3 linked regions of the Notamacropus eugenii genome follow. The protein of the gene in region 1 interacts with the protein of each later gene in a pairwise test. Links are inferred from orthologs where the notes say so. Each region holds a gene or a part of one and is shown in the gene's direction. Other genes may lie near its edges.

Region 1 (10,123 bases):
CAAAAGGCAATGATTACTGCCGTTTACATAGTATTTCACAGTTTAAAAAATGAAATTCCTTTTACTCTCACCTAAATCCTAGGGGTGAAGCAGCGCAAAGATTACCCTCTCCATTCTACTGGTGACAAAGGAGGTTCAAGTGGTAAACAATTAATCCAAGGTTTACATAGTAATAGAATCAGAAACCTAATCTAGGTTTCCATAGCTCCAAATGCCACTCACCCTTTTCAACTACGACCTTTTATTGGACTTTTGATTCAGTTGATGCAAGGAAACTTTCTTTATCATCCAAGTGATTTGCCCCAGAATATACAGGCAATATAAATCTGAAGTAACTCCGAGTCACACCGCTATCCATTTATGTTACCATATTATCTAGACCATGGTTCTAGTTCTAATTTAATGAATTCCAGCTCATTCTTCATATTCATTTTCTAGTTGTTCAATCATTTTAGTCATGTTTGATTCTTTATGACCCCATTTGTAGGATTTGAACTCAGCAAATGGAGTCTTCCCTGACTTCAGGCCCCACACTCTATCCTATCTGGAGCACCTAGCTGCCCAGTTTTATGCGTGTGTGTGTGTGTATATGTGTGTGTATTTTCTATCATAATCACATCTTGGGGTAAAATAGTGAATCATCAAATGTGGTTTACGCACCTTAGTGTAATATTGATGTCTTCACTATTAACCAAGTTTACCCTCATGTTCATGTTCTCTCATGTTTTTTAATTTCTAAAACGAGGGTATTATAAAAATTGTCTTCTGAAGTTCCTTGTGTCCTATATGTCCTTCATGTGCTAGGTGCTATGTAATAATTCAAACAACATCCACCTAAAATAAAAATCTTACACGGATGGAAGGCAAGATAAATTTTTGAAAAAGATATGTACAAATAACGCAACTGTAAATTGTCTTTATTTTCTTTCTATCTCCCAGATGGAAGCTGGAATGGAGCAGACCCTGGGGAATCCTAGGCTCCTTACAAAAGGAATCTCAGTGATTCTTTGAAAATTCCATTGAGACAAATGGGATGGGCAGCTGCCTCTAGAGGCATCACCTCTGGTTCCATAGAGGAAACTGATCAGGGAGACGAAGGAAGGAAGAAAGAACAAAGACCATTTTCTCCCACTGCAAATAAGTGGCTAAATTAGGTCACAAAAAGGTTCTTTTTCTTCTCTAAGCGTGTAGTCTGATTTGTGTACAGGGGCTAGAATAGTGTGACCTAAGAAAGGCACCAAAAATGTACTCCTCTTAAAAAAATATTGCCCCACCCCTCACCTCAAACCTCATTCCTGAAATTGACAGCATAGGTTTCTTTTTCTGCACATTTTTTTTTCTGGAATGATATTTTGTATCATAAATAAATAGTCTAGTACAAAGATGTCACTCACAGGCCACTATTTTTTTTTTCCAGATTATAATTCAATTGGGAAGTGTTTAATAAAATAAAAATGCAATACAACATAGGTAATGTTAATTTGTGGTTTTCTAAGTCAATAGGCTCCACTTCTATTTGAGTTTGACATTATTGCCCCATATTGACAGTGAACCTGAGGTAAGAGTGGTTGACAAATATATGGTAAAAGGATTACCAGATACTAACTCAACTTCTTTGGACTGAGTATAATAATAATAAAATAATAATAGTAACAGATTTGCTATCCCCAGTTAAACTTATAAGTGAAGTTGTTTTTTCACCCAAGGTGCAAGAAGATTTCATGCTTTTAAATCAACAAGTAAATTTTGGACACTGGAATTTCCCAACCACTAATAAGTTACCTTTTGAAAGTTCTAGGTCCTAGAGTTTAGGACAGTAGAATTTCTCATGATTTAAATCTAGTCTAACTTTCTTGCTATTTGTTTGACCTGATGGGGTGATAGGGCCTGAACCCCTAAAAGGAAAAGACCATGTTGTTAAAAGCAACCCAGTCCCTGAATTTTCCCATATATTTCAGCAGCCCAGATCACTAGAGCCTCAGCCTTGGCCTCAGTCCAAGACAACTGGCCCACCCCAGACCACCTTGACATTCCTTTCATTGCCGATCTTGCTGCCCCCCATCCCTACTAGTTGCATATACCAATCACCCCTTAATCCCCTCTAGATCATCTAATTAGTCTACTTGATATTCCTTAAGTGTAGTATCTGGCCCAATTCAGACTATTTACTACTCCATAATCTGATCCAGATCTTTTCACTGTTCTTTTTGTATATAAGCATCAGTCCCACCCCCATTAAGTTGCAGGTTCATTAGGAACCATGCCCATTACTATTGCTTTACAACAACTGCTCCTAAACTGGAAGAAGTTTTGAGTGGACACTGGTGGACACTGCCTGTACCCTGACATATCGGGGTTCTCAGCAACCCCAAACCACATCAGACCCATGGCCAATCACTTATCTTCTCTCTGCCTCACTTTCTTCATCTGAAAAATTGGATTAGACATTTGAACTTGATAACTTCTGAGGTCCCTTTTAATGCTAAATCTATGTTTCTATATAGTAGGTTCTAGGTTAGCTGGACTTACCATTCCCTAAATATTATATACTTTCTAGCTAGCCTTCTTGATCTTGCTCACCCCATGCTTTTATAATAATAGCTAGCAATAATAATAGCTAACATTTGCACAGGGCTTTTAAGATTTACAAGACACTTTTCAAATATAATCTCAACTTACCCTCAACAACCCTGGAGGTATATGTTTCTATTAATCCCCATTTTATAGATGATAAAATGGAGACAGTTCAAATCTGTTCTCAGGCACTACTACCTGTGAGATCTTGGTCAAGTCATTCAACCTCTCTCTGTTTCCTCATTTGTAAAATAGGGATAATAAGAGTATCTATCTCCTAGGGCTGTTAAGAGGATCAAATGAGATGACAATTGTAAAGCACTTAGCATAGTGCCTAACATAAAGAAATGTTAGCTATAAGCTACTATTAGTATTAAGGGACTTTCCCAGGATCATGCTGTTACTAAGTATCCAAGGTAGCTTCAAATTCAGTTCTTGACTTCCAGTTCAGAGCTCGGTGCATTAGGGTCACCTAGCTGCATTCTTTGTTTCATCATAGAAACACTTTCCCTCAACCCTCTTCAGCTGTGAACATGCTACAAATAAGATACTCAATGTTGACTGGAATTACCAAAGATTTTATATTATAAGATGCACCTGAGGGGGTGGAGCAAGCATGGCCAGAATTGACCATCGATGGTCAAGGGAAGGGATTGATTGTGCTTACAAATTTTTCTAAGAAATTATTTTTCTGCAGTTTTATGATTTGCTACTTTCCCCCCATTCGTATTTAATCAACAAATGTTTATTTTACTTACTATTTACAAGGTTAAAAAAAACCATCACGTTATAGTGGATACGGAGCTGACCTGGGAACCAGGAAGATTTGGGTTCAAGTCTTACCCTCTGACACATCATAGCTCAGGGTCCCCCAGACATGCCACTTGGACTTTCAGAGTGGTTCAGGCAACTGCATACAAGGTAAGTTGCACAAAAGGTGCTTGCCTTCCTTGGGAAAGAGAGTTTTCTTCTTTAAGAGATTCCTATAAATGAAACCACAGGTCCAGTTACTATTCCTTTCTGCTAGGCACTGTATCAATTTGTTGTTGCAGTTTACATGAACTAGCAAAATTTCATTCTACTGGGGAGATATACAAATGTGCAGGCACAGGCACACACGTAATTTCAAAGTAATTTTTAGAGGGCAGAGAATTAAGATTTATGTCCGGAGTAGCACCAGGGCTAAGGCTTAGGGATTCAAAGAGGCTGATGAATAGATGATGCTTTCTAGCCATGAGGTACACAGCCAGAGTAAAAGCATTTAGGGTGGGAAATGAAAGTCATGGTTGAATACAAAAAGAATTTATGTAGTGCTTACTAGAACACAGACATTGTGCTAAGCACCAGGGATATAAACATGAAAAGCAAGACAATCCTTGCACTTAAGGAGATTGTATTCTAATAGCGAAAGACAAAACATAGAGGGGAGTAATGACCTCAGGAAGGGTCAGTTCAAATCTGGCCTCAGACGTTTACTAGCTGTGTGACTCTGGGCAAATCACTTAATCTGTTTGCCTCAGTTTCCTCATCTGTAAAATGAGTTGGAGAAGGAAATGGCAAATCAGTCCAGGTCCTTTGCAAAGAAAACCACAAACTGGGTCAGGAAGAGTTGGACACAACTAAAATGACTGCACGAATGGGTCCCCGTTAGGGTATGGGAAGGTTCTAGGATGGGATTAGTGAAGTACTAGGACAACTGACTGATTCCTCCTTTCTAGAAAAAGGGTACGTACAGTTCCTAGAGGAAGGGTTGGGAGTAACTATTATTACCAGGCTGTAGTACAGTATGGTAGATGTAATGAGGGCCCTGCTAGATATGGTGAACCATCAGCAATCAGGAAGACAGAGTCCTACAGGTTGGGAGCAAGTGCCCAGTCAGAGGTACAGGATGGAGTGAAGTACTCTGGCAGAAAGATGGTTGCAGTGTCACATAAGGCAAACAGTAAACATGATGAGTACATTAGTGGAGAAATGTGAACTAAATAAGTTTGGCTTTGTTTTGTAAAGAGCTTTAAATGGCAAACAGAAGAGTTTTTTTTTTTATCCTAGAAGGATTAGGGAACACTGAAGCTTGTTGAGCAGGAGAGTAACATGGTCAGATCAGTACTTTAGGAAGATTATTTTGGCAGCTGTATATAGAGCAGAAAGACTGGAAGCATACATAGTCCTTTATGATTTGTAAAGTGATTTTGTTAAAAAGACTCTAGCTAAGTTTTATTTTAGTCTTTTCTAATAATGCCAGATCTCACTTTGAAATTCTAAAGCCACTTATCAGAAAAAAAGGAAATGGCTCAGTAAGCCCATTGACTCATAAAATATTTTACATTTTGTTCAGTGTTTGATCACAGACAGGGGCTTCCTCTTTCCTCTTCATTAAGAGCCACTCATCTAAAACAGTCCAGGTGCTGCATATGAAATACACATATGGTGTTCAGGTGTGCAACAATTTTAGTTAAATCTATGTTAAAAAACTAACCCTAAACATCTGCCTTTAATATATATAGAACATAGGTAGACCATTTGATCATCAACATACTGATAGCATTGTCTTTTTCAAGTGGTACACAAACATCCACTTGAAATGTAGTTTGTGTTTCCTCAGAGCAAGTTTAAATCTATTTCAGAGGGCAAGGTTCCCCAAGCTGGTGGCACAAATTCAGTATTGAGGACGATTCTGCCTGACAAGTCAATTATGTTTGCCAATTTCCTCATTTGTAACAGAAAGATAATAATAACAGCAAACTATAACCCAGGTTGTTGTGAAGATTAAATGAAATATTTGTAAAAGGCTCTGCAAACCTTATAGCACCATATAAAAGCTACCTGAGGATGTCCTTGATGCATACTACTGAGATAATTCACAGCACTAACAGTTTAGCTTTGAACTCAGAAGATTTGAGTTTGAATAGAAATCCAATCAACTAAATTCCCACCTTCTTACCGGAAGCATTCTCAAGGGCTCGGAATTCCATTGCCTTTCCTCTGCTAATTATTTCCTATGTATCTTATATATAGCTTGCTTCTTATATTACTAGTTCTTGCATTGTCTCTTTCCCCATTAGCTCCGTGAGGGTAGGGACTATTTTTTTTGCCTTTTTCATCCCCAGCATTCATCTCAGTTGCTGCCACCTAGTAGACACTTAATATTGATTTTCCTTTTTGAATTATTTCCTATGTATCCTGTATACAGCCTGCTTTGCATACATTTGCATGTGGTGCCCTCGATCAGATTGTAAACTCTTTCAGGGTTTAACGTAGATCTGTTGTTTACCTTCTTTTAACTAAGCCCTAGAAATTGAAGATGTAGACTCCTTGAAGGCAGGGACTGTCTTCTGCCTCTTTTTTTCCCCTCCAACGCTTCTAGTGGGTGTTTATAGAATGGAGTTTTATCGAACGTACGCTGGGACTTCAGCTCATCTCCAAAGCTCTCGGGGAGGATTGTTTCTTTAATGAGAACGTCGGGCCCGCCCCCAGCCGTGGCACTTGCCCACGAACCCCTCGGCGGCCCGCCCACTCCTGCTCTCCTCCTCATCTCCCCACGCCCCCAGCCTCCCGTCCCAGCTCCCAGAGGATCTGCTCCGGACCCGCTCTCCCGCGCTTCTCCGCTTTCACGCCGGGCGGCCGCGCCTTTTATAGGCACCCAGAGCCAATGAGAGCTCTTCTTTCCTTCTGGTCGGCGGAGGGACCAATCGTGGCGCGGCTGGTGTAATCTTCGTCCGCTCGGCTGCCCTCGGCTCTTTTCGCTGTTGCTGCCTTCCCGGGGGCGGTCGCTTCGCTGCCAGAGACGCTTTCTTTTTTTTCCGGGTTCGGAGCCGTTCCGGATGCTTTAGGTTGCCGGATGTCTGATCTTCGGATAACTGAGGCGTTACTGTACATGGATTATCTGGTAAGGTCCGCGGCGTCGGTGCTGGGGGAGCGGCGGGGTGCCCCTCGCCTTCACACCCCACGCCTCGCCTCTCCCGCCCCTCCCCTCTTTTGGGGCGGGCGGGCAGCGGAGGGGAACTGCCTCCCCCTCTTGTCCTCTCTCGCTCCCTCTTTCCCCGCTGCCCCCCTTCTCCGCTCCCTCTCCCCCCTGGCAGCCCCGCGCTCGGTCCTGAGCTGGCAGCTGGGCTGCGGTGCTGCCCCACTCTGGGGGCGGGGACGGGGGGGGGGGGGAGGAGGAGGAGAGGGGGGTGGGGGAGCTGACAGGTAAAGGTGCAGTCGTGGGGCGAGCAGATTTACAGCTCCGGGTAAAGATCGCGGTGCGAGGCAGCGGAGAGGATGGGCAGCGGCTGCCCGAGAAGGGGGCCCTGCCTCGCCCTCCCCCCGCCCCGCCCCTCTTTCTCCCCGAGCCGTGCAGCCTGGCAGCCTGGCAGCCCCGGGAGCGAGGTTCTGGCTGCCTCTGCCCCTCCCGGGTCGCTCCAGCTTCGCCTTCTTTAAGCAGGCTGCAAAGAACTATTAAAGACCCATAACCCGAATGGGTTCAGCGCAGCGCACGGGCAGCCCTGGTCATTTGGCTGTTATTAGACCTCTAAAGCTGTGACCCCGGGTCGCTGTTGGGTTTTTTAAAAAGCACATGAACATAAAGCACGCTCCACTGAGCTAGCTCCGTAGTAACCTTGGGCACCCGGCGAGTCTTGAACCTGGGCTCGGTCTGCCTGCTTGCCGGGCTGCGGGGAAGTTTCAGCCAGTTTCAGGAATGCTGCTGTAATACTGTTTGGGGCAGAGATTGTGGGAATATTAGGCCAGGGGAGTACGGAATGGGCAAGTGTGTGTGTGTGTGTGTGTGTGTCTGTGTGTGTCCGTGTGTGTGTGTGTGTGTCCGCAAGCAGCAAGTATTGCTCCCAAACTCCTTTTCTCAAATATTATAAGGACAATCTGTTTCATTGCAAAACGCTAAATAGTTTAGTAAAATTTACCGTGTCACCCAGAATCGGTGCCAGGTTGCATTAGTGGATGAAAATAGTGACCTAGACATCATCTGGTTGTATGTTTGCCATATCCACTAGGCTTTAGACAGCAGGATTGGCCAGGCAGAATTTTGACAAGTGCCTTCTAGGAATTGTCAGGTTGTTTTGAAATATACGGGCCACGTGTTGTTTTCAAGTTTAGGTGCTATGAGCAACAAGTTTAATTTATAACCTAACAATTGCTTGATACTTGAATGTTTAAATTATTACTCAATATTTGCTTGACATTTGAATGTTGGCTGTGCAGTTGTGATTACTTGAGTTCATTTTGGGGTTATGTCAGAAATTCCAGGGTTTGAAGAGTTTGTGGGCCTACAGAGTGTTTTCAGTTAAAACATGGCTATGTGAATTGGGCCCTGCCTAGAGGTCTAGAAATCAGTTCAAATCTTACTAATAAGAGTTCTAGGGGGCTCTTTGAAAAATAGGATACAGTTCTTTTGCTCTAAGGAAGATTTGGAGATTAGTTATTTTTTCGTGAAGGTCATTTATGAAATGCAAAATGACTATTTTTGTTGGGTGGGCTGTCCAGATTATTTTCTGGAGACATCTTCGAATATAAATTGTATTTTTCCTCACAAGATACCTTTTTGGAGTCCATCCAAATAAAAGCTAAAGATTGTAGCTGGAAATTGACTTATAGAAAAGTATGACAGTAGCTAAAGTTTTGTTGGTGGTTCCTGCAAAGCTTTAAAATGAAGAGTCTCTAATTATGTCATCATTTTGTCAGTATTTATATCTCAGGTAGGATGTTTTAGTTACACACAAATTTAATGTTTGAATCATTAAGTCTGTCTTGCATTGTGCCAAAGTAGCCATTAGGTTTGGTTTTTAAACATTAAATTTGGTGGGATGAAACTGCTTAGTTAAGAGGATTCATGCAGACATAGATTGGGCGGAAGTTACTTTTCGTTCTTTTTGAGGCAATTGGGGTTAAGTGACTTGTCCAGGGCCACACAACTAGTATGTCTGAATCAGAATTTGAACTTGGGTCCTCCTGATTCCAGAGCTGGGTGCTCTATCTACAGTACCACCTACCTGCCCTGGCAGTTGCTTTGCTTTATGGGCTCAGTGATCCCCACAAGAGCAGGTTCATTTTCTTGATTAGTTCACTCTATCTTGGGATGACACACCTTTATATCTAGGCTGATGAACCTCATCTTTTATTCCTTCTCTAATTTTGGTCTTCAAAAAAATCAAATTAGCCTCTATTTGCTTCTCTGCAATTATCATTTTTAAAAAATTAAGGGCTTCGAGTGGCAGCATGGCATGTGAATACAGAGAGCCTTAAGGTATGGGTTCATGCTCTGCTTCTGTGTGGTCCTAGGCAAGTCATTTTACACTTCTCAGGGCTCTAGTCAAGTAAGACTGTACCTTGAGGAGAAAGTGTGTCTGCCTTCATGGGTTGAGTGAATTTCCTAACTTGCTACACAGATGAAATCACAGGAGCCTCCCCTATGCTTATTCTAAGAAGTCTAAGCTTGGGTATCAAGTGAGGGTGAGAAAGCATTCTCTGAGGAAAGTGTCATACTGTAGCATAATAAGGGGTATGTCAACAAGCTCTTCCGTGTGCCAGGTGCTGTGGTGAACTTCGGGGATACAAAGAAGGGCAGAAGAAAAAAAGGGAAAAAACCAAGCAACAACAACAACAAAATATTTGCCCTCAAGGAGATCACAGTCTTTTGAGGGAGAAAACTTGCAGGCAACTGGGTACAAACAAATTATATATGTGATGAATTGGAGCATAAAAACAGGAGGAACCTCACTAGCGTTTAGGGGCAATCCAGAAAGGTTTCTTGTAAAAGGTAAGATTTTAGCTGGGACTTGGAGAAGCTCCAATTGATCCTGAAGGTTAAATACAATTTTTGGACAGTAATCATCACTTTTAAGCTAACCTTCTAAGAACTCACTCCATAGCGTGTGTTCTTTCTACCAAAACCCATGCCTTTTCCTACCTCTATTCTGATGAAATGATATATTGGATAGACTGTTACTTCTTCAGCAGCCTCCTTTGCTTTTCCTCCCTCAGGGGATTAACTTGTTTAGTCATGTCTTTCCTGTGTTAATTATTACAAATCAATTTTTTTGACTGTCACAGAATATTTCTAAAATAAATCAGTTCTCTTGAATTTCCACAGATGAAAATGTATGTTCTTTTTTTGAAATTGTAGTGTCCCAAACTTACAGACTATGCTGGGATCTCCACCATATTGCTTCTACCCTTTGCAGGGTTGCTGTTTACTAACACAAAATTGAAAGGACATGTGTAACTTTGCCTATTTTATTTTAATAATATAGCCAACTTTTTGTTGGTGTCTCATAGAGGGAGCTCTGCATATTACCCCTCATTCTTTGGGGGTAATCATCATCTTCCCCCTTTTATGATTGGAGAATGAAGAAAAATGGAGAAATATGAGATTGTGGAGTTGCAATTCTTAATGGAAATGAGCCATTAAAAATAGTTTTGGGAGCTAGTAGGAGTTTGCCATTTTTTTCATAGTAATAAGAAAATGAGTGTTTTTAAGTAAGGTTGAAAAGGACAGTAATAGCATTGTAGCTTTCTTAACAGTTTAAAAATTTTTTGTTTCAATAAGTGAACTTTT
Region 2 (10,306 bases), on another chromosome or scaffold:
CAGGCAGATGAGTCATGTGCCACGAAGAAGGTCCCCAGGGTTGGGGAGAGTGGAGGAGAAAGCACATTGGCTCCTTTGTGGGAGGGAACGGGGTGCCATGCATCAGGGGATGCTTCATGGGGGACACAGTGAGGGTCTTGAGGGTATTTGGGCACCTCCACAATCTTGGCAGCCACTGAATCTTCCCTTAATACCCTCATCAAAGGCCAGACCCAGCATGGACCAGGGCCCAGCTCTCTCACCTGCCCTCCCCACCCCGACCTATTTCTCTCATCTGTCCTTCAGGTTACTCTTTGGGATCCCCCACCCTCAGATGCCAGACAACTTCCTTCTGGGAAGCCCTCCAAGGGAAGGCCTGAGGTCCTGGGAATTGGACAGGCTGCTGTGGGCCCGGGCCGTGGAGAACCTGGCTACGGTCACCACCACTCTGACCTCCCTTGCTGAGTTGCTAGACAAGATTGGCAACATTGTGATCAAGGATGATGTGGCCTCTGAGGTGTGTGTTGTGTATGGGCTCCTGCCGTGCAGGCACTGTGCTGTGTATTAGGGATATAAGGCCAGGAAAGGCTAGCCCCTGTTCTCCCAAGATATCTGGACTCCCACTGCCTGGCCTGAATAAGAATATGATGAGAATTCTTAGAGGCCTAGATGAGGAAGGAACACGGGTCTGGTGTGTGGTTTGTGTAGGTACTGGAAGTAAGTGTAGTGTTGAGCACTTTGTGGGACCTTGTGGGAATAAGGCTGCGAAGGGAGCTTAGAGACAGATTGTGGAAGACCTCAGGTGTCAGGCCAGGGAGTGGGTGTATCTCAGTAGCCATAGGGAGTCATAGCAGGTTGTTGTATAGGGTAGGATCCTAGATCTAGAGCTGGAACTGACCTCAAAGATCGTCGAGTCCAGCTCCCACATTTGACAGAGGAGGAAACTGAGGCCTAGGCAGGGGATGGGACCCACCGAGACTGGGTTGGTAGTAAATGGTGGAGGAACTTGAACTTGAACTTGAACCCAGGTCTTCTGACTCCAGACTTGGCACTCCTCATCTTGATGTGATAGTCAGTTGTCTGTGTTGCCTTCCCCCACAATCACCCTGTCCAGATGAGCCCTCCATCCCCACCCCTCTGCATGTCAGCATTGGTGAATGTGGGCAGGGCTCTTGTGCCCCATGTCCTGCTGACTTCAGTCTTCAGCTGTTGGTGCAGATCTCCCCACTTCTCTGAATTCTTCATGCTCCTAGTCAGTGGGCACAGTGGAGCATGGACGAGACATGGGCTCCAGGCATCTCGGACCCCAGGCAGGTGACTAAGCCTCACTCAGCCTTCATTTGCTCATCTGTAAAATGGAAGTAATAATAGCACCTGGTCATAGTATTGTGAGGATCAAAGGAGAGAATGTGTTAAGTTCTTTGTCAACTCTGAAACACTGTAGAAATGGCATCTGCTAGCATTATTTCTCCTCTTCCTAACATTCCATCCCATTGCCATACTGGCAGTCCATCCACATTGTTTCCAGGTTTTTATTGCTGCGAAGTCTTCCTTGGCCTCTTGGCTGACGTGGCCCTGATAACAGCCCTCGGGCCCTCACCCTCATTCTCTTGTCTCTGACCTCCTTGGAGCCTGTGCCCAGGAGTGACAGTTCTAGAGTCCAAGGTTGAAACGGTTCATTGCCAGTTTTTCTTGTGCATACTCCAAAATGGAGGAATAGTATTTTGGGAGCTCGCAATGCTTAGGGTGGACAGGGGAGGATGCCACTGAGGAAGCGGTTACAGTGTCTAGGAGAGGGATGATAGATGAGATCTTGCAGGAGCAGGGTGGCCCCTGAGAGGGGCAAGGAAAGCAGATGGATGGGAGACAGGTGAAGGGAACAGAACCTGCAGGACCATATCAGGGGGATGGAGTTTATGAAAGGACGGCAGCACCTTGGACAGAGTGTGGGGGAACATCCTGGAGAACATCAGTTCAGGGCCAGAGATGAGGGGAGGAGCTTATTAGTACTGGGTTTATAATTTGGAAGTCATTATGTAGGGTTGATAATTGAAGCCATGTGAGCTGAGGAGATTGCCAGCAACCCTTGAATGACACAAGAAAAGAGGGTCCAGGACAAAGCCTTAAGAGATGCCCATGATTAGTGTGTGGGAGCTGGCTTAAAAGCTGGCAGAGAATTCTCAGGAGAGGACCATGTCCCAGGGAGGGGAGGAGTATTCAGAAGGAAAGGAAGGGTGGGCAAAGGGTGCAGAAGCCTAGGAGGTAGGGGCAGAAGAAGTACCATGGAACTTAGTGGTTCAGGCTTGTCAGTAACCTTGGGGAGAACAGCTTGGGTTGAGTAGAGGGGTTGGGAGGAAGGGGGTGAAAGGAGACCACTCTTTCTAGCATCTTAGTACATTGAAAGGGAAAGGAGAGAGAGAAGGTAATAGTTCAAGGGGATGACGGGTCTAGTGGAGATTTTTTTATGAATGGGAGTGGACCAGATAGAAAGTCAGAGACTGAGACAGGAGGGAAGAGGAGGCTCAGAGGTATAGATGGAGCCTTGGCAAAGGAAAGGACCACTGCTTTCTCGGAGATTGAGTCAGAAGAGACTACATGAATGTGCAGGAGTTTTGAGGTGTGTAGTAGGAGGGGTGGAGCTCATATAGCCCTCTGTGAGCATATATATTAATTTATTTTATCCTCATGATAACTGTGGGAGGTTGGTGCTTTTCCATCCCCATTTTAAATGTCAAAATAGGCAGTCGGGTGAAGTGATTTCCCCATGGTCACAGTTAATAGGTGTCTGAAGTTCAGTGCTCTGTGCACCATGGCACCACCTAGCTGTCATGGGGAAGAGGAGGGAGTTCAGGAGGGAGGAGAGGGAAGGTTTGGAACTGCTTTGTGATCGAATCAAGCTGGAAGAATCAGACTAGTGGCACTGGGCTGGAAGGCCCAGGTGAGATGAACATTCACTTGGGTGCTTTGTCTGCCAATGTTCAGCAACACTAATGTCAGGGCATGGAAAGCAGATGGACGTGGGCCTGGCCATTGACTGGTTGAGGATGTTTCCAGCCAAGCTGGCATCTCTAGGGGAAGACTTTAAGGGGAGAGAAAGGAGGCCCAGGCACAGGGGATGGATTTGGAGGACAGATGAAGAGACGGAGGAGGATTGGAGCAGGTGGAGATGGAAGGATGGGGCATTATCTTCTGGAATTGGAGTTGGCACCATTATGGGTGATGGTGCAATTTAAAGTATGAGCACCCCTCTGAGCAGCAGAATTGAAATGACGGTGAATGTAGGGGGTTAAGGTTGGTTCCTAAACCCTCCTTGGATTCCTTTGTCAGATCTTCAGCCAACCCCCATGCACTAATTATGGGCATCTCAAGTCTTTGTCCTGGGCTCTCTTCTCTCTGGTGTGTCATTTAATCTCTCCCTGCACTGGAGAACCCTCGATGCTTGAGGGAACATCAGCATGTATATTAAAGTCCCCAAGTATGGGGTGCAGGTCTTGGGGTGAAGATGATGACTGAACGAGGATTGAATCCCTTGGGAAAGGACAGAGTATATAGCCTGGAGACAGGAGTGTTAATAGCAACAAGAATTTGGTCCAAGTGATCTAGAAGGATTGAATGAAGCTGAAAGGGGAATGATGTGGAGGGAGGGTCTGGAAGTGGTCATGAGAAACATGGAATAAGTGGGATCTTTCTGGGTGTGTGTGTGTGTCTGTTTGTGTCTCTGTGTGTCTGTCTGTGTCTGTGTGTGTGACACTGGATGGGGCCAGGGGTTTCCTGAGTGGCAGGATGGAGGGAACTTATGGGCTAAGGTTGGTAGGGATGAGAGTCGGGGAAAGACTTGACTTAGCAGAGGGCATCTGACTCAACAGATTGAGAATCCCAAGGTGGAAGTTATTCATCTGTAGGATGGGGAAGGGACCCATTCAGGTGGCACCTCCAGCCTCCTGAGTCCTGTGATGATTATGCAGCCTCTGCATGGTGTTGTGAAGGGCATTGGTAGCCCCCCAGGGAATCCTGGTGATACCTGGAGGGATTCAGAGTAGCCCATGGGATCACCCTGTATTTTTGCCCTTCCCCTTCCTGGGTTAGGTGAGGGTGTTGGATGTCCTTTTAAGTGAATTCCCAGAGTGACCCAGGACGTCAGTGGCATGCAGACACTAAACTGCTGTCTCTCCCCTCCCCTGGCCTAGCTTAGGCCCTTCTGCTGATCAGTGTCTTCCTGCCCAGGTGTACCGGGCAGTGGACGCCTTCCACGAGGCGGCAGTGGCGCTGTCTGAAGGGAACCTGAAGCCTGCTCTCCGAGCCAGCCAAGAGGCGGTGACTTCCTCTGAGAAGGCCTTCTTTGACCCTTCCCTTCTCCACCTCCTCTACTTTCCTGATGACCAGAAGTTCGCCATCTACATCCCCCTCTTCCTGCCCATGGCGGTGCCCATTTTTCTCTCCATGATCAAGATTATTGTGGAGAACCAAAAAGTCAGGAAGGATATTGAGAAGGTGGACTGAGTGTGTGAGGGGGCAGAGTGCTCCCTCAGGAAAGGAGGGGCAAGTTGGAGAGCAGATGAATCTCTGCTCTTGGGAGTGGCCTGGCCCCATTCTGGACAACCTCACTCTTCTCTGTCCTTACTTGCATGTCCTTATGTTCAGAGGCCAGGCCTTTGGGTGGGTGGGAGAGTGGGTGGGCAAAGGGAAGGGCCTCCAAGAAGTGCTCTGCCCAGGACCTCTTTCATTCAATTCCCTCATAAGGGATCAGCCAACTTGGTGGGTTGGGAGAGTAAAGGGAAAGAAAGAGAGGAAACTGAAAAGGAAATAAAAGTCTTAGGAGTCTTCTGGCCCTCCATGAATTGCCCATGTTTTATTCACTTCTTGGTTTAAACTGAGGCTCTTAGGGTACGGAATGGTGGCACACTGCTACTGGGCCAATGATTCACGTGTCTCAGCAAACTTGGACAGAGAAAGACTCAGGGTGGAGGAAACCACCCCAAGTGTATGGAATGGGAGACTCCTCATCATTGCCTTGCTCCAGGCAAAAAAGCACCAACATTTGCCGGTGTTCCCTTAGAAGTGATGGCTGAACCCCTGTTCTATGAAATCACTCCCCCTTCTCAGCCTCCTTATGGATGGCTTAGGCATCACTAGCTGCAGGCCTGGAATCACTTGGCCTTGCCCAGGTTGGGGCTCCTTTTGCCCCCTTGGGTGGGGGAAAGCCGTAGATATCCCCTTAGGAGAGGTTTGCAACAGATTGCCAGTCCTTTTCTCTGGCCTTCCCCTTGCCCTCTGCTGTCTGGCACAGCAGGTGGGCCTGAGCCTCAGCCTCCTGGACTGAAGAAGGGAGATTGGCCTCTACAGCTCTGGCCTTCGTAATTTCCCTTCCCCTGCTCCCAGAACTGGCACTGCCGAAGCAAAATGCCATCTGGCCTTTGGGTGCCCTGTTCCCTCCCCCATCCACTTCAGTTGGTTGAACTGGGCCCTCGAAAATCCAGCTTTGCCTCCCCCTACATCTCTTCAGTGTCTCCCCTTAGTCTTTTTTCTGGAGTGGGGCACGGGCAGCCTTGGTTCCGAGACCTTAAGCCTGACTTCCTGGGGGTGGTCCGGTAGGGACACAGGATGAGAGGCGCCCCTTGGGGCCTTAGAGGCCGGTTGGGATGGGATTTCAGAGATCTCTTTGTTCCCCTTTAGGGAGGGACCCTGCTCAGAATGGTCCTCACCCTTCTCCCACGCACGCCCAGGCCCTGGTGCCAGCTCTGAACGTTATTTTGAGCCATCTGCTTTCCCAAGTGGACTGTCCTTTCCCCTCCCACTGAGGCTGGCACTGGGGGAGAGGGTGTTCCCTGCGCGTTCGGGGTGAAGCGGCGAGGTGGGGGGAGGGGGACTCGGAGATAAGTCTGGGGGTGGGGAGAAGGGACGAGCGCAGGGCATGCGAAGGGAGAGGCGCCGAGGGAGGAAGGCTGGGGATGTAGGTCCAGGGGCGCGCAGCGAGGCGGGCCTTGGGGTGGAGCAGAGAGCAGGTACCTGGGGCGGGGCGGGGCCAGGAGCCGCGGGGGGAGGGTGGGGGGCTGGGGAAGTAGAGAGGCCAGGCTGGGCCGGACAGACCCGGGCAGATCGCGCTGCCTCCCCTTCCCCGCTGTGCGGGCTCCGGACGGCCGCGGCGGTGCGAGGGGCAGCCGGGGGCCGGGAGCGGGGCCATGAAGGTGAAGAGAGACGGCAGCGGGGCCGGGGCCGCGGCTGGGTCGGACCCCGGGCCAGGGGCCACGGGCAGCCAGGACGACGAGGCGGGATCGGAGCCGGAGCCCCTGGCGCTGCGGAGGAAGGCGCTGATCGGGCCCGAAGATGTGTTGGGGCTCCAGCGCATCACGTGCGGTGAGGGAGGCGTGGGGGGCTCCGGGGCGTGGGGGGCGGCTGGGGAGGAGGGCTGCGTCCCCAGGGAGGCTCCTGGACCATGCACTCTGCGCGCACCTCCCCGGCCCCAGCCCCATCATCTCCACCCCATCCGTGGGCTCTAGCCGCGCCCCTCCATCCTCTTCTCCGCTCCCTGCGCCCCACCCATTCTCTCCACCTCAGACCCTGTCCTACCTTCTCTTCTCCATCCTCCCTCCTGGGAGCTGCCTTTTGCTCACTATGGGCTTGGCCCCTGCCCCCGTTTCCACTTAGACTGAACGGGGCAAGGCAGTGAGGGCAGTGGTCTTTCCTTTCCTCCTGTACCCTCTTTGCTATGGGGTGAATTAGCTGCGTTGCCCAGCAAGGTTCTAGATCAGACCTAGACTTTCAAGGAGGGCCCAGTACTTGCTGAGTGGACCCTCACCACGTCTGGGCATTAGGATTGGGGGGAGGGGAGGCACTTTGGGGTAAAATACCAGTTCGTGCGGGGGAGACCTGGGCTGGCAGGACCCTCCAGGTACACGCCCCTCCTCCCAGCCCGGGAGCAGTCTCTGATCTACTTGTTAGGGATTGAGGTCAATGAGGTGACCCTGAACACTAATCTCTCTGTCTTAAGCCAGTGGCCCAATACCCCCCCAGTCCAAGAGAGCACCTCAGGATAGCCTTTTTATGGCAACAGAGGGGCTACTGTATGCCCAAGTATTCCCTGTCATCTTCTAGTCCCTAGACAAGCATTTGGGGGGTGTTTGCACCTGACTTTGAAGCTGTCTCTGGAGACTCCAGGCTAGGGGCAGGTCTACCTGTAACCCCCTGGTTGCTGCCACCGGGCATCTGTTGAGTTGGCTGACTGTTACCATCAGGGAATTCTGGGTCCTGGAGCTAGGTATCACAGAATGCTCCTGAAATGATGATCTTGAGGCCTCAGTTTCTCCTCCTCCAGGATCCTGATATCTGGAAAAAGAAATGAGACAGGGAGTATGTCCATAATCAAAAGAGAGTGCCTACTGTATACAGGGATGCCTAGCTATGTAAAGCAATCTCATCTCTCAAGGAGCTCCCAGCCGGGCTGATGAGACAGCTCACACCCATTAAACGTTACATAATGGTTGGTACAGGGTATGTCACTAAGCAGTCTCTGCTAAGGGCCAAAAAGAGGGCTCAGATGAAGTCACAAGGCAGAGAGCCTGTGGGAAAGGGTGAGACAGGATGGGACACCTCTGTTTTCCCACCATCCAGGGTGGAGGGGAAAGGTCTTTCACTACAGCCTGAGAAGCTAGGTAGGAGCAAGGCTTGGCCCTGGGCCCCTTTGCAAGGGTCCAAGGCGTGGAACCCAGGTGGAACCCTGTGGAACCCTGGCCAGTCTAGACCTCTTTGGCTTAGGTAAGGAGGGTGAGTGGGGTAGGGTCTAGTATGTGATGTGGCTTGGGCCACACAGTGTCCTACTAGAGGTGGGCTTCCCCAAGGATTCTTCTCTTTGCTTTCGAGACCAATCTGGCCTGTTCTTACCCTAAGCTGGAGTAGACTCCTTCCTCCTTTATCTCCCTGAACTTCTTTCTCAATCAGCCACTTACCCTGGAGTTTGGGGCCTAACACAGAAGGAAGGACCTGCCTAGGCTGGACTGTTCCCCTGGGACACTGGGCATTCTGACCCAGACTGAAAAGAAACAGGAAAATGTGTATATGGTGCTGGATGTGGTTAGACCAGGGAGAGAGATCCATCAGTCTGTCTGCAGGCATTTATTAATCACCTTTATGTGTCAGGCACTTCCCTAAGCACTGGGGATACAAAGAAAGGCCCTGCCCTCAAGGAGCCCTTATCTAATGGAAAGGGCTTAAGGAAAGGGTTTCTGCTTAAGTTGTGATAGGCAGAAGGCAGGTCAGCTCTAAGGAGGAATTTCCCTGTGCAGAAGACTTGGAGGATGCTTGAAACAGCTACTGTTGAGGAGTGGGCTCATGGAGCCTCGAGGTCTCCCATCTTGTCTTGCATTCCTTGCCTTTCTCCTGGACTTGTCTGGTTTGACTCCAGCCTCTGGCCAGCCTCCTCAGCCGAGGATGGGGCACCAGGACCTAGCTCATCCTCTAGGCCACTCATTCATTCAACTTGTACTGAATTCCTCCTGCATTCCAGGTGCCATAGTGAGCCATGGGACTACAAAGACAGAAACCAAACAGGAAGTCCTTCTCTGGGTCTGATCTCAGTCCCTCCTGACTCACATTTTATTTTCTGTGCTGATAGCGAAAGTCGATTTCATAGGATCATAGGATTTAAAACTAACCTGTGAGACATTAGGAATGGGTTTCTCCAAGCCCCTCCTTTTACAGATGAGGCCACTGTGGTCCAGAGAAATTAAGGGACTGGTCCAAAGTCACTCATGTTGTAAGTGGAAGAGCTAACTCAGGTCAGCAAAATAACCCTTCTCTCTTTCAAGAAGACCTTATTCTTGTCTTAGTCTAGCTGACTCACCTCAGTCTTATCTAAAAAAAAAAAACCCAAAATACACAAAACCAAAAAACCCCAAAGCCAAACCAGCCAGTGGAAGGAACCCTGCTTTTGTCCTCAGCCCTCCTCTCCTTTTCAGTCAGCCCATTCATTTATCCCTCCCAAACTTCCTTCTTCCCTTCAGTTCTGAGACCCCCTAACCCTGATCCCCAGGGTCCCATCTGGAGAATGAGCAGTTAACCAGTGGGGCTCTGCTCCTGTCCTTTACCCTTGTTACCCCCACACCTCCCCCTTCTCCCAATCTCCCAGAGATTCATAAGATCCTCCCCCCTCTCCCACTTGGCTGCTGACACCAGCCGTTCCAGGATTGTCCTGGGCCTTGAGCTCTTGATAGGGGAGGAGGAGAAGACAGTGAAGCATTTGTGACCTAAGCAACCTAGGCTAGGGGAAAGTGTGGGAATTCCTCCCCTCGAAACACTCCATTGTCCTTTAGGTCAGTCATCTGCCATTTTGAACTGGCCCCCAGCGCCTCTGTCTCTAGATCTTTCCCCAGTCTTTTGACAACATAGTTACCAGTTGGACTTCTTCCCCACCCCTGACCCCCACCCCCAGAGAGCAGGGGCTGGAGGAAGGTAGGCAAGAAGGGCACATAACTGGTTTTTTGGGTCCACAGCGCCTGAGGGCCTTTTGGGAATAGTGTATGCCTTCTAAAAGGGGATCAGACCTAGGGGAAGGTCTGGGAGAAGTGGTCAGAGCTCCCCTCCAAGGCTAAAATTTTGTGATTTTTATGGGACCCAACTTAGAGAGAGACTGTGGGAGCAGTCATTATCCCAGAGAACCTTGGACCTGAGCTTTTTGTCTAAGGAGAAGAAGGAGGGCCAGAAATAGGAAGTGAGCTGCCCAAGGACATACAGTGAGAGGTGTTAGTGCCCTGGCTTCTCCTAGAGAGAGAAGGGTCAGCCTTGACCAATTTGCCTAGGACTGGGGGAAAAGCAAATCACTTGTCAGGAGACAAGGCTGGCAGTGGGGGTCTCCAGGGTTCCCTGCCTGGGAAGGGGAGACAGCATTTCCCTCATCCTTTCTAAAGAGGGGGAGACTTCAGGACTGCCAAGATGGGGCTGGGGCAGAAAGAGGCTTGAGGAGATGCAGGTGGGGGGTGGGGAGTGGGGGGGATGACAGTTCCCATGAGAACCTGCTTTTCTAAGGGCTCTGAGGTTGGGAGACAAGTCTGAGGGACACTTAGGCTTGGTTTTTGTGGCTTCTACCTCAGGCCCATCCTCCCATCGGAGGGGCCTGCTACAATGTCTCTCCACCCTTTCCTCCCTTCCTGAGCAGGGCTGTGGTCCTAAGTGGCCTCTCAGGCCACTCGGCTTGTACTTCCTTATCACTCTTTGCAGCTCTCCAGTGACTCTATCTTCCTGCTTGTCACTGACATTTGTCACTGACTTGGGCTTTTTCTTTCTAGGGTCCCCCTGGGCCTCTCTCCACCTGATCAAGAGGAAGGAGAGGACGAGG
Region 3 (10,738 bases), on another chromosome or scaffold:
TACCTTGAGATCACTGACTCAGAGGGGTGTGGGCCAGGCCCTACTTTCAGAGAGAGCACAGGATGACCCAGAGGAGGCTGTCTCTGCTCCTCTTTACAGGCTTTGAGAACACAGGCTCTGCAGCTTCCCTCAATGGTCCCAAACAATTCTGTCCAAACACAATCTCTGGCAGCGACTGAACACAGTTCCCTTTGTTCAGGCTTCCAGAGCCACAAGGAGCCAATGGAAGAGCACTAAGGAGCCATGATGATGTCCCATAATGGTGTCCTGGCTTGACCAGCACCACCTCCCAAGAAGATGGGGAGTACAGTGAAGATTAAATCAGATAATGAACGTGAAAACATTCTGGAACCATAAAGCATTTGTCGTGGGCTAGGATGCTAGTAGAACTGGGGTGGGGAGGACTGGGGAACTCCCCCACAGGCTCCCACAACACTAACCAGGACTTCTATATGTGAGGTCGTCGTGGGGCAGACCTGGGGTACTTGGGCCTAACTCTGCTTCCAAGGGGACTGACTGAGGACCTCCCTAAGCAGGAAGGGCTGAAAGCAGTCATCCTAAAAGACATCTCCCTGCCAGCAGGCTTAGCCATCAGCTTCCTGCCCCGTTTTTAACTTCCCTGGGAATGAATTCTACATGGGCACAGGAATGAGCTGTGAGCAAAAGGCATGTGGAGCCTCAGGCTGAGGCATTCACTGCCCAGATGCATGAGTGCATGTGTTAGTGCACCAGTTGGCCTGAGGAACAGGCTAGAGGGAACATCACCTCGAACTAGACTTTCCAGAGCCCCAGCCTTCTTTGTAGAATGACTGGGAAAACATCAAAGATGGCCAGTAAGGCCAGCAACACCAAAACAGCTGCCCGGCACTTTGAGCTGATTCCACCTCACTGGTCACTTCGCTGACTCTGCTTTCCTTCCTCTCCAGTTTGTCCACAGAATTTCTTTCTGACTAAATTTTCCCGTGACCATACCGTGGCGCATGGCTCTAACAAGGACCTCCCCAGAGAAGTGCCTCTTGGGCTCCATCTCCAGCTGCTTCTGGTCCATCCCAGCATCCTCCCATTCTCCACACCTGCCCTGCTCTGCACAGTCAGGTCAGCAGGGGTTTACCCAGAGCCTCCAGGAGGTCATTTCACATCATGCCACTCCTGGTCAGCTTCCTTCAGCCTGCGTCTGCATCGCTAGTGAATCGATGGGACACTATGCCCACTGAAAACTTTGGTTTTGTTGGAATTCTAACTCATAAAGGTCAATGGGAGTTTTATTCCTGCCTTCCAGAACACCTGGAAGCCTTAATGATGCGCTTCTTACTTCCTTCAACCAGATCATCGGCAAAGATATTAAAGAGAAAGATCCAAGGCCAGGTCTCCCCTACCTCTCCTCCTCCTCCTCCGCCTGGCCCAGTGCTATTAGCCAGCTCTAAGCACTACGGTTCCATAAACCTGAGATCCCTGGAGACCTTGGGTGAGAAGCCCAGACAGCGCTTACCTCCTGCACGTTGGACAGCTCCAGCAGCTCTCCAAACACGTACACTCCAGGTGCCTCCAGGACCTGACTTATGAGAGCGGTGAGGGCTGAGCCATTGGTGCCTTTGGCTAATAAAATAAACTGTTCCAGGAGATTACAGGAGGGTTTCTGTTCACCTGCCATTCTACGACCTGGTAATCTAGTCAAAAAGAAAACCTTATCAGTCAATTCTCTCCCACTCTATCCCATTTATACTGGTCTGGCTTTTGACTTTGCTTTTATTGTGCCTATGATAAAAGCAAACTTCTCCCAAGATCAGGAACAAGTCATCACCCTGTCATACGGATCTAGCCCAGACAGAAGGAAATATGCTCATTCTGGAAATTTAAAATTCATTTAGAAAAAGCCTCTCAATTCCTAGTCAACAGATAGAAAGGACTGCTCTCCAGGTTCTTAGGCAGATCTACATCTTGAGAATGAAAATGCACATCCTCAGGCAGAGCACAAGCAAGCCCGCCAGCAGACACAGTAAAGACTGTTCTCCGAGCCCTGAACTTTTTACAGAAACAATCTAGAGCCTCAAATGTGCTTGGAGAGCTCCTGAGCCAGGCTACAGCTAGGGCAGCAGAGAGAAATAAGGGAGCCATCCATCTTTGGAGGAAAGAGAAGCTGCTGCTTCTACTAAACCAAAGGCCAAGGTTTCATTTGAGTTCACCGGCCTCACCTCCACCAGGTGGGCTCCCACCCAAATCAAACCAGAACCAGAACAGAGGCTGCTGGGGACCCACAGGCTCCTCAGATCTGCCTCCACCACCACACGTGGCCAGGGCCTGGAGCACCCCCGTGGGGAATCCACAGCGGTGAGGACACGTGGAGGGGGCCTCTCTCAGTCTCAGACTGCTGGGGAGATGGGCAGGGGTGCGGAGAGGGGTGGGGTGACTGAGGAGGGCAAGAAATGGAGGTGGAGTTGTTAGTGAAAAGGCAGTTTTGGGGTACCCAGGGTACAAGAAAGGCGCTTTCTTCCTCAAAACGTTACATGTTGGATAAGGGGCGAGGGAAGCCCGGCCAAGGGGTGTTTCTGGGGGTGATCTGCCGCAGGAGAGCTAAGGCAGGAACCTCGAATATCCCCGAAGCGGGGTGCTGGGGGCTCTCCTCTGAGCCTCAGAAGGAGCACGCTAAGTGAGGGGCTCCGGCGGGGGTCCCAGACTCTCTGGGGAATCTGGAAGTGCCTCTCCCCACCAGGAGAGATGAGGGCGGCCGTGGAGGGGACCGGGGGCCGGGGGCCGAGGTCGGGAGAGGGGGGCTGGTGCTGCCATTGTGGTCCCCAGGGGGCAAAGGGGAGGCGGAGGAGCCCCTCCTGCCCCCCGGGACCCCGAGAGTGTCCGGGGCTGGATCTGAACTCGGGTCCTCCTGACTCCAGGCCAATAAACTCGGGGGCTACAAGCCTAAGGCAGCTTCGGGGGCGCAGGCCCAGGAGAAGGAGCGGGAGGGGGAGGCCTGAGGCCTGGAGGTGGAGGCAGCTCAGAGGGGGGGCACAAGGGGCCTTAGGAAGGAAGAGAAGCGAGGGGGGCTGGGGGAGGGGAGGCCTCGGTGGGGGCGGGGCTCGCCCCTCCCCTCGCTCACCGGAGGCGGCGGGTGAGGGGGGCGGGGCGGACCACCCCCCCCCAGGAATGCCCTCCCCGCCCCCTCCAGCCCGGGGTCCCCCCAGCTCCCCCGGGGCCACCCCTGCTCCTTGTACCTGCCTCCGCCGCCAAGGCTCCGTCCGTCCGCTCCCGGCGCCTCCCCGCGGGTCGTCAGGCGGCCATCATCGCTCCGGGGTCCGCCGCTCAAGTGCCTCCGCCGGGCCGGCCCTCTCCGAGGCCCCCTCGGAAACTCACCGCCTCTGCGCCCAGGTTCCGGCTGCAGCACGTGGGTTCCGGCGCGCGCGCACGCGCAGTCTCTCCGTGCCCGGTTTTGCCCAATGCGCAGACTCCGCGGGTCAAGGCCTTCTCGCTTTGCGCATGCTCGGCTCCCGCCCCGGCCGGACAAAAGCCTTCCCCGCGCGGCGGCCCCGGGATAGGTGCTTTTCGCCTCCCCGCCCCCAGCCCTGTCCACGTGCCCCCTCCGCCCCTCCCCCCAGGCTCCGCTTGAAGATCTGCCGGGAGAGCGCCCCGCGCTTTAGCCCAAGTCAGCTTGGACCGCTGCGGGCCATCCGAGGTGTATTTATGTGTCCGGAGCGGTCCTGAGACAGGACACGCACACACACGCACACGCAGCCAGCGACCTTTATTTTTTATTGAAATTCCCCCTCGGGACAGTGAGAAACTGTCAGCTGGACTAACCAGATGAAGACACCTTTCTGTGCAATGGTCAGCCTCGGCAACGACCCCCACCCCACTAAACACAGTGTACTGTTGTCTGGTGAGACCCTCTCTCAAAGGGGTCAGTCCAGGAAAGGTGTAAATTAGGGATGAACTGAGTTCAAATCCAGCCTCAGACACTTCCTAGCTGGATGGCTCTGAGTGGGTCACTTCCCCCTGCTTGCCTCAGTTTCCTCATCTGTGAAGGACATGGCAAAGCACTCCAGTATCTTTGCCAAGGAAACTCCAAATGGGGTCACAGAGTCAGACAAGACAGAATAACAACACTATGGGCTTCTTTGTCCTCTTTAATTGAGGGCTTTGGGAGGAAATAGGTGCTCAGTCCCTTAATCAGAGAGGCAGAGACTAGGATGAGGCATGAAGAGCAAAGCTTGAGGATGAATTTTCTGGAGTCACAGAAGCAAGTGAGGCTTTGCATGACTATGTCTATCGTCTATTGTTACTGTGGTCACAGCTATTTGCTGTGGATGTCATTCTTAGGTGAGTCCCTGGGATGCTCCTTTGATATCCTTTCTTCTGTGGTCCAGTGGCTGTGAGCTCCAGAAGAGAAGGGATAGACCATCTTTTGCCCTTCTTTGTAGCCCCAGTATTTAGCACAGTGCCTGGCATACAGAGAACACTTAATAAATGCTTGTGTACTTGTTATAGGTTGATATGTATTTGCTGTTATGGTATATAACTACAGGTGCTGGGCTTTTTGCAGCTGATTTTGCGAGGGACTACAAAATGTTGGACTGTCTACTTTACGGAGAACACGAATCACCAGCTCTGGTGATTGAGTGCTTTGCTTCCCTGGCTTCTTTCAAGTCTCAACTAAAACTCCATCTTCTTCAGGAAGCCTTTCCTAACCCTCTTAATTCTAGAGCCTTCCCTCTGTTAATTATTTACTATTCATCCTGTATGTAGCTTGTGTACACCTATTTGTTTGCATGTTATCTCTTCCACTGGATTGTAAATTCCTTGAAGGCAGGGAGTATCTTTTGCCTTTTTTTTTGTATCCTCCAACTCTTAGCCTAGCACATAGTAGGAGCTTAATAAATGTTTATTGATTGATATATTGTGGGGAACATGGAGATGACAGTCCTTATTCCTGTCTTCTACCTTACTTCAGCTTGTTATGACTGGCACCCATTTCTGGTTGTGTTTTTGGTTTTTTTTGTGGCTGTTGTTTTTAATTCTGTATCTGCATCTGACTGATCAAGTTTTCTTCCTCCCAATAAACACCTGCGGATGACCCTTTCCTGTGCATTTCCTCATGGCTCTTTGTCCATCCCATGAGGGCACAGGCTCCCTGGGAGCAAAGGGACTTTTTTTCACTAAGCTGGAAAACCAGTCCCCCAGGCCATTGTTAGACAGCTTTTTCTTTCCAATTCAGGGCATGATCACAAACATTCAGACTTTTCTAACTACATATCCAAGGACAGTGTCACTATCATTCTGGAGGTTTCATTCTATCAGACCTTAAGCCTAAGCTGTTCTAAGTATACACTTGGAGTTATGTATGTCATAAATTTGAGGATTTGGAAAGGACAACACCAGCAATTGGGATAATAGTCAAGCACTTAATGCAGTAATCTGAGGTTTGCAAAGCACTTTACCTACATGTGTTATTTCAGTTTAATCTTCATAATAACCCAGGGAGGTAAGTGCTATTATGATCCTCATTTTACACATGGGGAAACTGAGACAAAGGTCAAGTGACTGGCCCAGGATCGCACAGCTGGTAGGTGTCTGAGGCTGAATTTGAACTTGGGTCTTCCTGAATCCAGAATCAGGCAAGGGTTAATGTAGAAGATGGTGCCTGAACTTGTCCTTGAAGGAAATATGGGGGAGAGAAAGAATGTGAGAGGGAGAGAAAGAGGGAAGGAGAAAGAGAGGAGAAAAGAGATGAGAAAAGGAGTGGGAGGGAGGAGAGAAGGGGACATGGAGGGAGAGAAAGATGGAGGGAGAAAGGGGAAAGGCAGAAAAAGAATTAGAGAGGAAGAGGAGAGAGACAGAGACAGGATGGGGTCAGGGAGGAAGAACGACCCACAGGAGCCCCACGCGGTTGGATGTTTACGAACGAGTCCACGCGAGTCTACCTACGCGGTGATCCAACCGAGCGAGAGCAGCCTGCGGGACATCATGGGACTCGTAGTTTCCGGGCCTCTGAAAGCTTGTGGCATGCTGGGACTTGTAGTCCCCGCGCTCAACTCTTGGAGCAGAGCCCCAAGGTTGCCGGCGGAAGAAACTGTTTTTATTGGCTCTCACCCGGTCCCGGGGCGCCGCGGGCCGCAACGCAAGCGGAAAAGATTGACCCAAGGAGGCTCCCGTCTCGGGCCGGGTGGGGAGGATGACGACCGAGAGACGGTCTTCTGGAGGGACGCTCCTTCTTCCCCCGCCGAAGCCGCTCCTTCTCCTATTGGTAGGTTGAGCTGCCCATCCACAAAGAGGGGCCGGCCCCCGGCAGGATAGCGGTTTCCCATTGGTCATAGGGGCGGAGGGCGGGCGGCAGTGGGGGAGGGGGGCGGGGACCGCTGCCGCCTCAGTCGCCGCCGCCTCTTCAGCCGAGAATCCCGCTCCGGCCCCCCGGCCCCTGGCCCGGCCCCGGCCCCGGCTCCGGCTCCCTTTATCGTCGCCGCCGCCGCCGTCATCGTCGCCGCCGCCCGCCGCAGGTGACTAGCTCCGGGGCAGCGCCGCCCGGAGCCGCCGGCGCCTCGTCATGTCCACCGAGGACGAGCGGGCCCGGGAGATCCTGAGGGGCTTCAAGCTGTATCCGCCCGCGGGGGACGGTCGGGCCTGGGGGCGTGTGTGGGGGAGGGACCCTGGGCCTGGAGCTGAGGGGGCGGTGGCTCCTCGGTGCCTGGCAGGAAAGTCGGGGCGCCGGGAGGGGAAGGAGGAGGTGCGGGAGCAGCCCTGGGGGGCGTTAGTGCTGGGGCGCCCCGCACCTTCGCTCGTGCTTCCCACCCGGGGCTGGGCTGGGCTCGGGACCCCTGGGGTGCGTGGTGGCCAGTTGTGCGGTGCCCAGGGCGACGTTAATCTGTAAATGCTGTGTATAATCCCAGCAGAAAAAGAGCGTAATCTTTCCACGTCGACTTGGCGGCATCTTTATCTCTTGTTTTGCTCTTAAAGTTTGCTACAATCAAATCGCTAGAGATTAAAAAAAGGCTTTCTCCAGCTGTCTGCTGCAGTTAGCTGGCCGCCCGGTGTCCCCACCATGGCTGCACCTTCCTCTCCAGGGGTTCGCGAGGGCTCTCTCTGCAGCCTTTTAGCCTTGCAGAAAGCTTCTTTCCCCCTCCGTGTCACGCTGCCCGCAGTTTAGAACACCAGAAAGGCGAAAGCAGCTTTGTGGGTGAGACCGGAAATGGAAGGAGGGCAGCTGTGAACATGCCCTCAGCCTGCTGACTTCCCTCTCCCGAAAACTTTGAGCCTCGGGGAGTCAGGGCTGGAGCGGAGCTGGGCTGCCTCTTCCATCGCGTGGCCTTGCTCTTCTGGGAAGGGTGGACAGAGGCAGGCGTCTATTTGGTTCCACTCCCGTGACTGTGGATTGTTTCTTCCCATTTTCCTCCAGCATTGCTGGGTGCGGTCGTTTAACTTCAGTCTTACCTTCGCCAAGCTAGAGAGCAGCTTCGTTTTGATCTGGTTCAGATCGATCTGTTGCTGGAGATCAGAAAGCATCTAGGGCTAGTTTGAGTGAAGCAGGAAGTGGGAACCGCCTTTCCTTTTTAAGGGGGTTTGATTCTTGAGAAAACTGAAGGAGCAGCTAAATACACATGAAGGATACTGGTAAGCATTCAGAACCCGTGGCAGTCTTCTAGGTAAGAAGGGGAATTCATCGATCCAGTAGGGGTGTGTGTGTGTGCTGGGACACAAACTTGCCAGGAACAAATTTAGGGAAAGATAATATAGAAAAGAAAGGATGGGAGCCATTGATCAGATCCCCTCCAATTGTATTCTTTGGGCTAGTAATGCCTGGTATATGAGGGCTAAGGGTGAAAAACTAAGAAGTTACTTTTAGGTAAAAATAACATAGGTCTAAGTTTTGGTAACTTAAGGAGAATTGTCTCAAGACCTTTTTGTATGTATGCTTTGCTTAGATGTCTAATCTAACATCCTTTCAAGCTAAGAGTAACTGTGATGTAGAATTTCTACACAGTGGTACAACCACACCTTGGCTTCAGTGACTGTTCTCTCTCGAATCTCCTCCTACCTCTTTGATCCTTCCTTCTTAAGTTTCCTTTGCAAGATCATCCTCTTTCTCCTGCTCCTGTGTGTAAGTCCCTCTGGACTTTGACCTGAGTCCTTTTCTCTTTTCTCCCTCTTGTGATGTTAGCAGCTCCTGCGGGTTCAATTATCATCTCTTTGCTGATCTAGTTCTAATCTCTTTCCTGAACTTTAAGCCCTGCATTGCCAAGTCCTTGTTAGAATGTCCAAACTGGAAGTGATTCTCAAACCCAAACTGATCCTCAAACTTTCCTAATTCTGTGGAGTGTACCAGTACCCTTCTAGTCACCCAGGTTTACAGTCTTGTAGTCATTCTTTAAAAAAAACCAAATTTTCATTGATACTTTTTGTTTTTTATATCATCAGAATTTTCCCCACTCTCCCTTTCTCTTTGCCATCTCGTATACCAGATGCTATTTTTTAATAGACACAAAGGGGGAGAAAATCAGTACAGCCAATTAATACATCGAAAAGAAGGTCTAAAAATACTTACCAGGTGTAACACCTACGTCCCTCCCACCTCCACAAAGGAATGGGTATGTCGTCATTCCAGTTATCCTTGATCTTTGTAACTTTGCTCCATTCATGTTTGATTTTGTGTATGTCAGTGTGGTTCTTTCTTTTAATATTGTTGTAATTACTGTGTGTATTGTTTTCTCAGCTCTGCTTACCTCATTCTGTATCAGTTCATGCAGCTCTTTCTCTTTCATGCAGGCTTCTCTGTATTCATCACATACATCATTTCTTACAGTACAGGAATATTCCTTTACATTCATGTACCACAATTTGTTTAGTCATTCTTCAATCAATAGGCATCTACCTTGTTTCCAAGCCTTTGCTGTCACAAAAAAATGCTGCTTTCAGTATTTTGGTGTATATGGGGATTTTCTTCCTATCAGTGAATTCCTTGGGGGTTAAGCCCAGTAATGGAGTCTTGGGGTCAAAGGGTTTAGGCAGTTGGAGTCATTCTTGATTCTTTTATCTCTCTCACCCTCTACATTCAATTAGTTGTCAAGATGTGTAGATTCTACTTTCACATCTGTCCCATCAGTTTTCCTCTGTGCAGCTCATATTTTAGAAGATCTCACCAGCTTTCACCTGTCCTGTTGACCTCCTGGTTGGTCATCCTGCTTCTGATGTCCCCTCTAAAGTTCATCCTCCACAGAGCTGCCAAATTGATATTCTGAAACCATAGACCAAACCTGGCCATTCTTTTACCCAGAAATCTTTGTTCATTTCCTCTTGCCTCTAGGACAAAATTCAGAACCCTTAGCCTGGCATTAAAGCACCCCACAATATGAATCTCAACTACCTTATCTGTCCTATTTCTCATTACTCTCCTTCACACACTCACTCGTTTCAGTCATGCTGGCCTACTAGCTATTCCTTGGTAAGGACGCTGTACCTACTGCCTTCATTAAGGCTCTCCCGGTGCTTGAAGGGCAAGCTTAAAATCCAGAGCTTCCTACAAAACCCCAATGACGGACTGCTTCCTCCGTGTGACCCTGCTTGTACTTTCCCCAGTTGGTCACACCCTCTTCACTCCTAAAATTACTGTGTATTTATATCAGTTATTTATCCCTGTGTGTGTTGCATCCACTCCTCAGGAGATTCTGAACTGCTTGAAAGTATAAACTGTTTCCTCCACAGGAACCCTGCATAGTACATTTTAAAAGTAATTTTAATAGAATGTTTTTCAAGTAATTTCAATAATTAATCGAATTGTAGATTAATCAGTTTAATTGCATTATTTGGCTAGATTTTCTAAGCATGGTATCTTTGACCAGATGACCTTCCACTCATGGTGTCCTTTTTTTATTAGGCATTTAATAAATATTTGTTGTTTAATTCATTATTCATTCATTTTTAGTTATGTCCTACTCCTTGTGACCCTGTTTGGGGTTATCTTGGCAAAGATACTGGAGTGGTTTGCCTTTCCTTCTCCAGCTCATTTGACAGATGAGGAAACTGGGGCAAATGGGGTTAAGTGATTTGCCTAGAGTCACACAGCTTTCAAGGGGCTGAGGCCAGATTTGAACTCAGGAAATTGGGTCTTCCTGCCTCCAGAACTGGCACTCAATCTACTTTACCACCTAGCTGCTTGTGGTTTGATGATGCTCCCAAAATGTTAAGTAAATGTTTTTAAACTTAATGTCTAGATTTTCTTGGTCAAGAAAAAGATAATTTTTTAAAAAAATCCTTTCCTTTCCTTCCTAAGTGATAGTTTTGAATGTCTTTGGTCTATTTAGTTTTAGACTACAGCTGTCTAGGTATAGAGAATGTTTGGGAAATACAAAGACTCAGCATTTAGGTAGGTTTCCTGAGTTTAACTTGGATTATCAGAAGATAACTGCATATGCTTTGTAAGGAATAGTGATAGGGAGGGCAGAGAAAGAGAGCTCCCTGAGGAAGCTGTGGGTGCCTCCAAGCAGAGACTCAGACCTCCTTCAGCCTGCAGGGATGGCAGCCCAGAGATCCTGGCTCAGCACTAAGAAAGTGTGAGTCTGTGAGGCGTATCAGGGGTTACAAGAGTAATGTTGGCTAGGTCAAGGTCAAGAGGCTGGGTGGAGCTGTGTGGGCAGCAGAGGTACTCAGGTGGGAATGAGACAGAAGATGCCATGGCCCTTCAAGGGGGGAACGAAAACAGAGGCAGGGTGCAGTAACTTGGTGAAAATCAAGTCATTTGAAGCCTTGAAGATGATTTTTC

Evidence for each region.
Region 2: the proteins of ARL15 (region 1) and UNC119 interact in binary tests that used the Homo sapiens proteins (3 or more experiments, as listed by UniProt). The link is inferred for Notamacropus eugenii from reciprocal best matches to the Homo sapiens genes ARL15 and UNC119.
Region 3: the proteins of ARL15 (region 1) and PDE6D interact in binary tests that used the Homo sapiens proteins (3 or more experiments, as listed by UniProt). The link is inferred for Notamacropus eugenii from reciprocal best matches to the Homo sapiens genes ARL15 and PDE6D.

Annotation. Positions count from the first base shown.
Region 1 is NC_092875.1:408,352,629-408,362,751, forward strand, and holds the start of ARL15 (ADP-ribosylation factor-like protein 15), read left to right. Parts: upstream 1-6,280; 5' UTR 6,281-6,412; coding exon 6,413-6,460; intron 6,461-10,123.
Region 2 is NC_092873.1:35,936,653-35,946,958, reverse strand, and holds the start of UNC119 (protein unc-119 homolog A), read left to right. Parts: upstream 1-6,051; 5' UTR 6,052-6,158; coding exon 6,159-6,333; intron 6,334-10,306. Other genes in the region: PIGS (GPI transamidase component PIG-S), read left to right, coding at 286-496, 4,204-4,479. UniProt on the Homo sapiens protein: Involved in synaptic functions in photoreceptor cells, the signal transduction in immune cells as a Src family kinase activator, endosome recycling, the uptake of bacteria and endocytosis, protein trafficking in sensory neurons and as lipid-binding chaperone with specificity for a diverse subset of myristoylated proteins.
Region 3 is NC_092873.1:58,276,792-58,287,529, forward strand, and holds the start of PDE6D (retinal rod rhodopsin-sensitive cGMP 3',5'-cyclic phosphodiesterase subunit delta), read left to right. Parts: upstream 1-6,283; 5' UTR 6,284-6,529; coding exon 6,530-6,579; intron 6,580-10,738. Other genes in the region: COPS7B (COP9 signalosome complex subunit 7b), read right to left, coding at 1,490-1,651. UniProt on the Homo sapiens protein: Promotes the release of prenylated target proteins from cellular membranes. Modulates the activity of prenylated or palmitoylated Ras family members by regulating their subcellular location.